Oryctolagus cuniculus: one gene and its partner. The protein of the gene in region 2 binds, or shares a complex with, the protein of the main gene of each other region. Links are inferred from orthologs where the notes say so. Each region holds a gene or a part of one and is shown on either strand. Other genes may lie near its edges. The genes, in order: TMEM186 and ACAD9.

What was found.
Region 1: ACAD9 (region 2) and TMEM186 share a complex: the UniProt entries of both Homo sapiens proteins name them as parts of the mitochondrial complex. The link is inferred for Oryctolagus cuniculus from reciprocal best matches to the Homo sapiens genes ACAD9 and TMEM186.

Annotation. Positions count from the first base shown.
Region 1 is NC_091450.1:27,396,037-27,400,221, reverse strand, and holds TMEM186 (transmembrane protein 186), read right to left. Parts: upstream 2,948-4,185; 5' UTR 2,826-2,947; coding exon 2,823-2,825; intron 2,214-2,822; coding exon 1,575-2,213; 3' UTR 746-1,574; downstream 1-745. Other genes in the region: PMM2 (phosphomannomutase 2), read left to right, coding at 3,077-3,142. UniProt on the Homo sapiens protein: As part of the MCIA complex, required for efficient assembly of the mitochondrial complex I.
Region 2 is NC_091441.1:111,765,723-111,769,524, forward strand, and holds the end of ACAD9 (complex I assembly factor ACAD9, mitochondrial), read right to left. Parts: intron 3,711-3,802; coding exon 3,633-3,710; intron 3,212-3,632; coding exon 3,083-3,211; intron 2,721-3,082; coding exon 2,648-2,720; intron 1,839-2,647; coding exon 1,738-1,838; 3' UTR 126-1,737; downstream 1-125. UniProt on the Homo sapiens protein: As part of the MCIA complex, primarily participates in the assembly of the mitochondrial complex I and therefore plays a role in oxidative phosphorylation.

The DNA of each region.
Region 1 (4,185 bases), on a different chromosome or scaffold from region 2:
ATGCCCCTGGGAAAGCAGCAGAGGACGGCCCAAGTCCTTGGGCCCCTCACCCGGAAGAAGCTCCTGACAGAGCTGGTCATTGTGGCCATTTGGAGTGTGAACCAGTGAGTGGGAGATCTTGTCTCTCCTTCTCTCTGTAACTCTGCCTCTCAAATAAATAATAAATCTTTAAAAAAGGGAAGGGGAGGGGGGAGGCAGGGAGGGGAGAGAACCTCTGGACATTGCAATGGGAATGTAACCCGGCATAGCCACTGTAAAAAGTCTGGCAGGTCCTCCAATGGTTAAACACAGAATTACCAGAGGACCTAGGAGTCCCACATCTTGGGATGCACCCAAAGGTGAAAATAATCCCAACGTCCCCCAGCACATGAACAGAGACAAACGTGGCAGTACACGGAACAATACCGTCCAGCTATAAGGAAGAATTACATGCCACTACACGCTACCCACACGTTGAAAACATCACACCAAGCCAACGAAGCCAGTCACGAAAGGGCACATACTGTGTGATTCCAGGCCATGCCATGTCCAGACAGGCAGATTCTAAGGCAGAAGGGGATTAGTGGCTGCCAACGGGAGAGCGAGTGCTGCTCTGTGGGTACAGAGGCCCTGGGATGGTGAAAAACTTCTGGGGGTGAACTGTGGGGGTGGTTACACCACACTGCAAATGTACTTACTGTCCCTGAACTGTACACTTAACATGGTTACAACGATACATTTGTGATGAGTACATGACAATGAAAACAGAGGTGATACGAAATTTATTGACTTATGCGTGGCAAAATCACGAAGACCTTTACCCTGCTACAAGCTACGTGGCCGACACACACACCGATCACGGGAGGCAACACGCAGAGGTAGAGCACTACACACACCCATCTGGCTCCATGACGCAGCGGGACGGCCTCGGCCTGTGGGTGCGGAACATCTCAGCTGGGGCGTCGCGCCTCACTCGGGGTGCAGTTACCATCCTGGGAGGGTGCAATGCCCCCGCCACGCTTCGTCCCACTCTTCTGCTAAGGGGTGCATGGAGAGGCAGAACACAGGGCTCCCGCGCGCTGCCTGAAAGCCCCGACCACCACCTCTGAGCAGACGCTTCCCAGTCGCCCAGGGCTACGGCCTTGCATGTTTACTGTGTGTTCTGACATCCAGCCCACGAGACAGAAAGAACTTTCCGTTTGACAGACGTGAGAAACCAAGGCTCACACAGACTCCGTCAGCTGCCCAGAACAGCGAGCTGACAGCACCCCAAACCCTGTGCTCCTCCCACATCTGTCTTCCAAATACCCGTGAACTGTCCGGGTGACCGTGGCATAGCTTCCTCCAAGAACTGGATCCGAACAGAACCTCCTGGCCATTATCTGCAAGAACAGCACGCGCAAGTGCAGGAAGAATCCGCACTCGGGCGCCTTCCCGTAAACCTGGGTCCGAATTTCTGTGTTCTTCCGAAAAGACAAACTCCCAGGGTTCTGACAGTCTCTAGGGGCCCGATTCCCTCCTTCGGCCTCGTCTACACCCTCAGCCTTCTTGGTTAGTGACCCAAGGGGCCCAGGGCTTCCCAGAGGCCCAGCTGATCACTTGAGCGAGTCCAGTCTCCCAAACACCTGTGTGAAGCGCTCTCTGTCCAGGACGCGCCCGTAGCGCAGAGGTAGGTAGAAGGTCTGCTTCCCGCTGTACTGCTGGATGCGCACAAACACCTCGTGGGGCCGGTCCCTCGTCTCCGTCAGGGGGACCACGTCCGCCACGGGGCAGTACGTGTCCTGTCGCCAGCCCCAGAAGGTGAGGTGAGCCACCCGCAGCACGGTGCCCGACTCGTTCACATACAGGATGCCTACGAGCCTGCGGAAGAAATGGCTCATCCAGCACAGCATGGCCAGGGCGAAGCCAGCTATGCCACCCACCAGGCACAGCGAGTCGAGCGGCATGAGGCCCTGGGAGTACCAGTAGAAGCCGGGCGGCAGAGCCACCAGCGTCAGGGCCGTCTGCGCCACCTTCAGCCGAGATATGTACCCAAACGCTCTGATGGCATCGAAACGGTAGACCATCTGGAACTTCTCGGTCTCTGTGCCCGGGGCTTTCTCCTCGGAACCGGGAGACCTGCTCCGCACCCACCTCTTGGGATCCTCTCGCCCACCGCAGGACCACAGCCCGCAGAGGGGCTTTCCCCAGGCGGCCGGCCCCCGCCACCTGGGCACAGCTCGGAGGAGGGCAGCCTGGAAGGGAGACAAGAGACCGTTTCCTCTCAGAACTCGGCTTCCACCTGCGTGAGTTCGTTAGGCTTTACCAACGGGCACTCAGAACACACTGAACGAGACAACGGTTTTTACGCCGTAAACGCAGCACCACTGTGCATCAGCACCGGCAGGGGCTTGGTTCCGGGATGCACGACAAGACACCCAAACCAGAGGGCTCACGTCTCTTATGCAAAATGGCACAGTGTTTGTGTGATACCTTATACCACTACTACGATGGAAACGCGGCGTAAAGAGTGGTTATGGGGGATTCCTTTGGGAGTAGCAAGAGCCCGTAGGCGTTCCGCACAGACGCAGCTGTCTCGGCAGCTGAGTGAATCCATGGATGGGGAGCGCACGGATAAGCAGCGCCGACTGCTCGGGGCCCACCCTGAGCACCCCCGCGAGGCTCGCTAGCACCGCTGCTGGCCCACGTGACCCCGCAAGACCACAGCAAGCCGTGGAGGAGCACATCGTAACCCACATCGGGGCAATCGCCCCAGGACCCAACAAACCAGAAGCTCAGGATTCCTGCCTGTTTGCCCCAACACTGGCTCCGACCCCGACGCAGCCCATCACCCTCCTCCTTACCATGGCCCTGCTCCCTGGCGCCGGATACAACCTCACCGCCGCCGGAAACTCTAAGGGCGCATGCTCGGACTACGCGCGTTGCATGCTGGGAGTTGTGGTGTAGCGTCCGTGGCCGACGCTAGCCCCGGGCATTGTGGGAGGCTGTGGGAGTCTCTTCCCGACGTGCTCTGCGGCGAAGAGGGCCGAACCCGGAAGTTCCGGGTCGAGGTCCGGGTGCCAACGAGTCGTCTCAGGTGTGGACGGAAACGGGGGCCATGGCAGCTCCGGGACCAGCGCTTTGCCTCTTCGACGTGGACGGGACCCTGACCGCCCCGCGGCAGGTAGGCGGCGCGCAGAGGGCTGGCGGCAGCCGGCACGGAGCACTTTCTGCTCCTAGACGGGACGAACGACCGTCCAGCTTGGGTGCCTGGGTGCAACTGAGGACCGCCTCCCGCCTCCAGGGGCTGCCCTTGGTCTGGGTGCCCCAGCGGCGGGAGACGGGCCTGAAGCAGCTCGTCAAGATCCCGGGGTGCTCGGAGAGGGAGGGCGGGGTCGGGAAACTTGGGTTAGAACAAGCAGCCCGTTCTCTGGCCGCGAGCCCTGAACCCCAGCCGAGGCCCCCTCAGCAGCTGTGTGACCTTCCCCGTCCCGTCGCGCGTGGCTGGACCTTGGAGCGAGATGCTGAAAGCGCAGGGTTCGGGCCGGCGCTGCGGCTGTTACTAGTTAAACATCCGTGTGCCTGCGGCGCCGGCATCCCATATGGGCGCCGGGTTGAGTCCCACCTGCTCCACTTCGGATCCGGCTCCCTGCTGATGGCCTGGGAAAGCTGCAGTGGACGGGCCCGGTCCTTGGGCCCCTGCACCCATGTGGGAGACCCGGAAGAAGCTCCTGGCTTCGGATCAGCGCAGCCGCGGCCCTTGCGGCCATTTAGGGAGTGAGCCCTTGGGTGGAAGACCCCCTCTCTCTATCTCGACCTCTCTCTGTCTGCAACTCTGCCCTCAAATAGATAAATCTTAAAGAAAGAAAGTGTAGATTTCCTAGTCCAGAGGACCTAGCGGAGCCTCAGCTTGGGCCAGTTAGCCCCAGCCGGAAGCGGGGACAGTGCTTGTTACGTGTCATCCGAATAGGACCAAATGCAAGGTGTCTGCTCGCAGTAGGCCTCCGTAAGCACGGGCCGTCTCCACCCGCCCTGTGCAGCCCCTGCCGGGGTCGGGGTCGGGGTCGGGGGGACGTCCTAGGTCGTCACAGGCAGCCTGGTGAGTCTCTGCACCCTTGGAAGCGTGCCCCCCGCGCTCAGATCTGCCTGCTGCGGGCGCGCGTACGTTTCAGCTACGATCAGCTTCGTGGCGAGGCTCTCCCTTGTACAGACTGGTCGCAGGAACAC
Region 2 (3,802 bases):
CTGTCCACAGGAGACAGGAGCTCTGTTTGTGCAGTGCCTCCTTGCCACCGCTGCTTCCCAGCCGAAAGCAGAACTTCCGGCTTCACTGGGACATGACTTCCAGTGTCACCGTATTTATCAACTGATTTGTTTAAAAAAATTTATTTGTTTGTTTGAAAGGCAGGAGAGGGCGAGGGAAGGCTGGGGAGGGAGGGAGGTGGTGGGGTGGGGGAGAGGGAGAAGAGAGAGAGACAGAGAGATCCCTTGATCGATCTCCATCCACTGGTTTACTCCCACAGGGCCGCAGCAGCTGAGGCTGGGCCAGACTGGAGCCAAGGGCCTGGAACTCCATCCAGGTCTCCACATAAGCAGCAGGGACCCAAGCACTCAGCTCATCTTGTGCTGCTTTCCCAGGTACATGAACAGAGAGGTGACTGGAGCAAAGTAGTCAGGACTGGAACCAGAACAGCATGGAAGCAGGGGCCTCAAGTGGTGGCTTCACCAGCAGCACCGCAGCGCCGGCCCCCAACTTTCCTCTTTAAGATGAAACAGTTACGGTGGGGCCGGTGCGATGGCATAGCGGGTAATGCTGCTGCCTGTGGCACCAGCATCCCGGCTGCTCTACTTCTGATCCAGCTCCCTGCTAATGTGCCTGGGAAAGCAGTGGAAGATGGCCCAAGTGCTCAGGCGCCTGCACTCACGTGGGAGACCTGGAAGAAGCTCCTGGCTCCTGGCTTCGGATTGGTGCAGCTCCACGGCCATTTGAGGAGTGAACCAGCAGATGGAAGATCTTACTTTGTCTCCTTCTCTTTCTCTTTTTAATTCTGCCCTTCAAATAAATGAATAAATCATAAAAACAAAACAAAACAGATTAAAGTTACCCAGATCCTGGGAGCACACCAGCCCCACCAGGCCAACTCAGTGCTCCCACCTAGTGGCCCGTGCGCAGTCTCACAGCGTAGAGGAGTCTGAGCCCAGCCTGCCTCCCCCTCAGGGCAGCACCCACAGCAGGCTCTGCAGCCTCAGCACCCCCAGCTGCCAGCAGCAGCAGGAAGGAGCCCGAGGGAAGGCCAGCGCCTGCTGCTGCCACCTCAAGAGCCGCCCCGTGACCTCTGCGCACACGGGGAGCAGAGCCCCAGGTTGCAAGAGGTGGATGCTGCTGTGCACCGGGCAGCAGGTCCCCCGTCACCAGAGAAGGAGCCCATGGCCCGCGGCCCCGCAGCCCTGCACTGGGCACCAGCCCTTCAGTGCTCAGGCTGAGGACAAAGGTGGTCCATGCACTAAAGGCGGAGTCAGGAACCTCGTGATGAGCACAGCCAGAGCGCGAAGTCCTGCACATCGGGATGTTTTATGTTCTTCACTCCCTGGCTCCTGGTACATGCTGTCACTGCACTGCACTCCTAGTCTGAGTGAATGACACACACACAGCTGTCAACGTGTGGTCTCACAGGAAGGGCTCTTCACACCTGACACAGGTCCCCGCTAGCCCCAGGCAGCGAGGTGGCAGCACAGCCCCAGGTCCCCTGTGGTGGCTTCTAAACCATCGCAGGTGTCAGCTGTCCCGCGCCATGTGGAAGCCAGGCTCCTGCTGGACAGCGGCAGGACTTCCTCTGGCCAGAAGAGAGCCTTCCAGGTGCAGCCTGGGTATGAACGTTCCAGCCAGGCAACCCAGAGTTCTCCACCTCCTGGCAGGAGACAGCGGTGTGCAGCACTGGCCATGGCCTGGGGGCAGCGGCAGGAGGGGGAGCTGTCAGCACCTCAGGACGCCCTGTCCAGAGGGTGGGCACAGATGTACGCTCTCTTCTCCAGGATCTGCTGGGCCACTTTCTTAATCTGCTCATCTAGGTTTTCTGGTGCGTCTGGGAGGGAAGAGAGAGGGCGGTCATCTCTCTGTATCGTGATCACGTGGAACAAGCCAGGCGCTGGCAGTCAGCCCCCGCAGTGAGGCAGCCTCGGGCGCCCCTCCTCCACACCCAGGGACGCTTCTGGGCCACAGGAAAAGGGACAGAGGTTTCATTCTGAATAAAAAGGCCTCATCCTGTTCTTGTCTGAAAACCCCCCAGTCTGTGCGTCTCAATGAAGGCACATCCTCCTCCACAGCACGTGACCGCCCTGTAGGCCAGAGGGCAGCCACGCTCCACATCAAGGGACACAACGGTAGCAGCCTCTCCCCATCCTTGGCAACAGGGCTGATCCGAGTCTCCAGGCCAGTAGCTAGGAGGAGGAAGCACACCACAGGCGAACAGGAGCAGGCACACAGACCCATGTTCTCAGGGCCAGGGCCTGAGACAGGGCAGAGCTGTGGTGCGGTCTGGCTGGGGTGCAGGGGTGGAGGAGCTGGGTAAATGCTGTCTCCTGAGTCCAGTGCAGTGTGAGCCCTCCCAGGTAGCCACAAGAATGCGGCAGGCCTGCTCAGTGGACGCCAGCAGGGCCAGCACAGAGGCTGTGTGTGAGGGCCCTGCTCCATACAGAATAGCCACGGTGACAGGTGACAGGTGACAGGTGAGGTTCACCTGTGTGTGCTTCTGCCGTGCAGGTGCTGTCGCACAGAAGCCCAGGCCTGGCGCAGGCTCTCCTCAAGGCAGAAGCTTGTGAGCAGGCAGCAGGCCCCAGGAACAGCTCCCCGGAGCCAGGCCCTTCCCCCGCTCCCCGCGGCCGCCCCACTTACGCTTGTCCAGCTGAGACAGGCTCAGGAGGTTCTGCAGATGAGCTTCCATGCAGAATGTGTTGGCCAGCAGGACCTGCCGGAGTGAGGTCAGCAAGCCTGAGCACCGAGCGCTGGGGCACGGCCTGAGCTGCAGCCTCTTGGCCATAGGGGGCTCCTGGCCCAGTGCACAGGGCCTGCCCAGTGCCCTCATCCACCTCCCTACAGCATGGACAGGCATTTGGGCTGAGAGCTCTTGTTTGGGGGCCCTGCCCCTTGCCCCCTCTCTTCTCTCAGGCAGGAGATGACGGAGTGGCCGAGCACAGCGCCCCCAGGCCACACCTGCAGGTCTCTGGGACTCCCCCTCCCGCTCAGTGACCAGCATGTGGTCGTGGCCTCCTGGGACTCCCCGACAGCGCCCCCTTCCCAGCCTCAGCTAGAGGGCTGCCAGGGCCTCACCTCATGGTCGTGATTGCGGAGCCCGAGGCGGATGGCGCGGCTGGCCCGGGACAGCACGGCCGTCATGCCGTACAGGTTGATGAGGATGTTGGCCACACGCTTCAGCAGCAACTGCTCCTCCACGATGGTCTGCAGACAAGGGCTGAGTGCAGAGCCTGCCCCTGCCCTGCTGCCTCCCCTGGACCCATCTCCCTCGCCCCACACGTGGCTTTGTTGAAGTCTGTTCTTGGGTAAAGTAGGGCCCAGAATCCATTTCCCCTAGGGTTGCAGGAGGTGGGGTCACAGCAACCTTCCATCTTCCTTGTTCTCTGCTCTGTGCAGATTCGGGAAGGGGCCACGGCCAAGGTCCAGAAACTGGGCTGGGCCACAGGCAGGGTTGCCCTCCCCTCACCTAAAAGGTGCCAGGGAGAAGAGCCTGGAAAGCTCACCCAGCAGGTGAGTGGTTGCTTGGCAGCATAGATGCAGCCACACCCGTGGGGCAGAGGCCTGTCCCAGGCCTGCTCCCAAAGCCCCTGCACAAACTGGCTTCCTGGCCAAGGGGCCTGCCTACCTTGCCAAAGCGTAGCAGCAGCGTCTCAACAGTGCGGCCAAAGTAATACACGTTCTCCTCGAGCTTGCGGGCACTGTCCTACAGGCCAGGAGACAGGACTCACCTCACCTCCTTGCCCATGGTACCCAGACTGGTCCCACCTGGATGGCACACAGCCCGGGGCTCCAAGG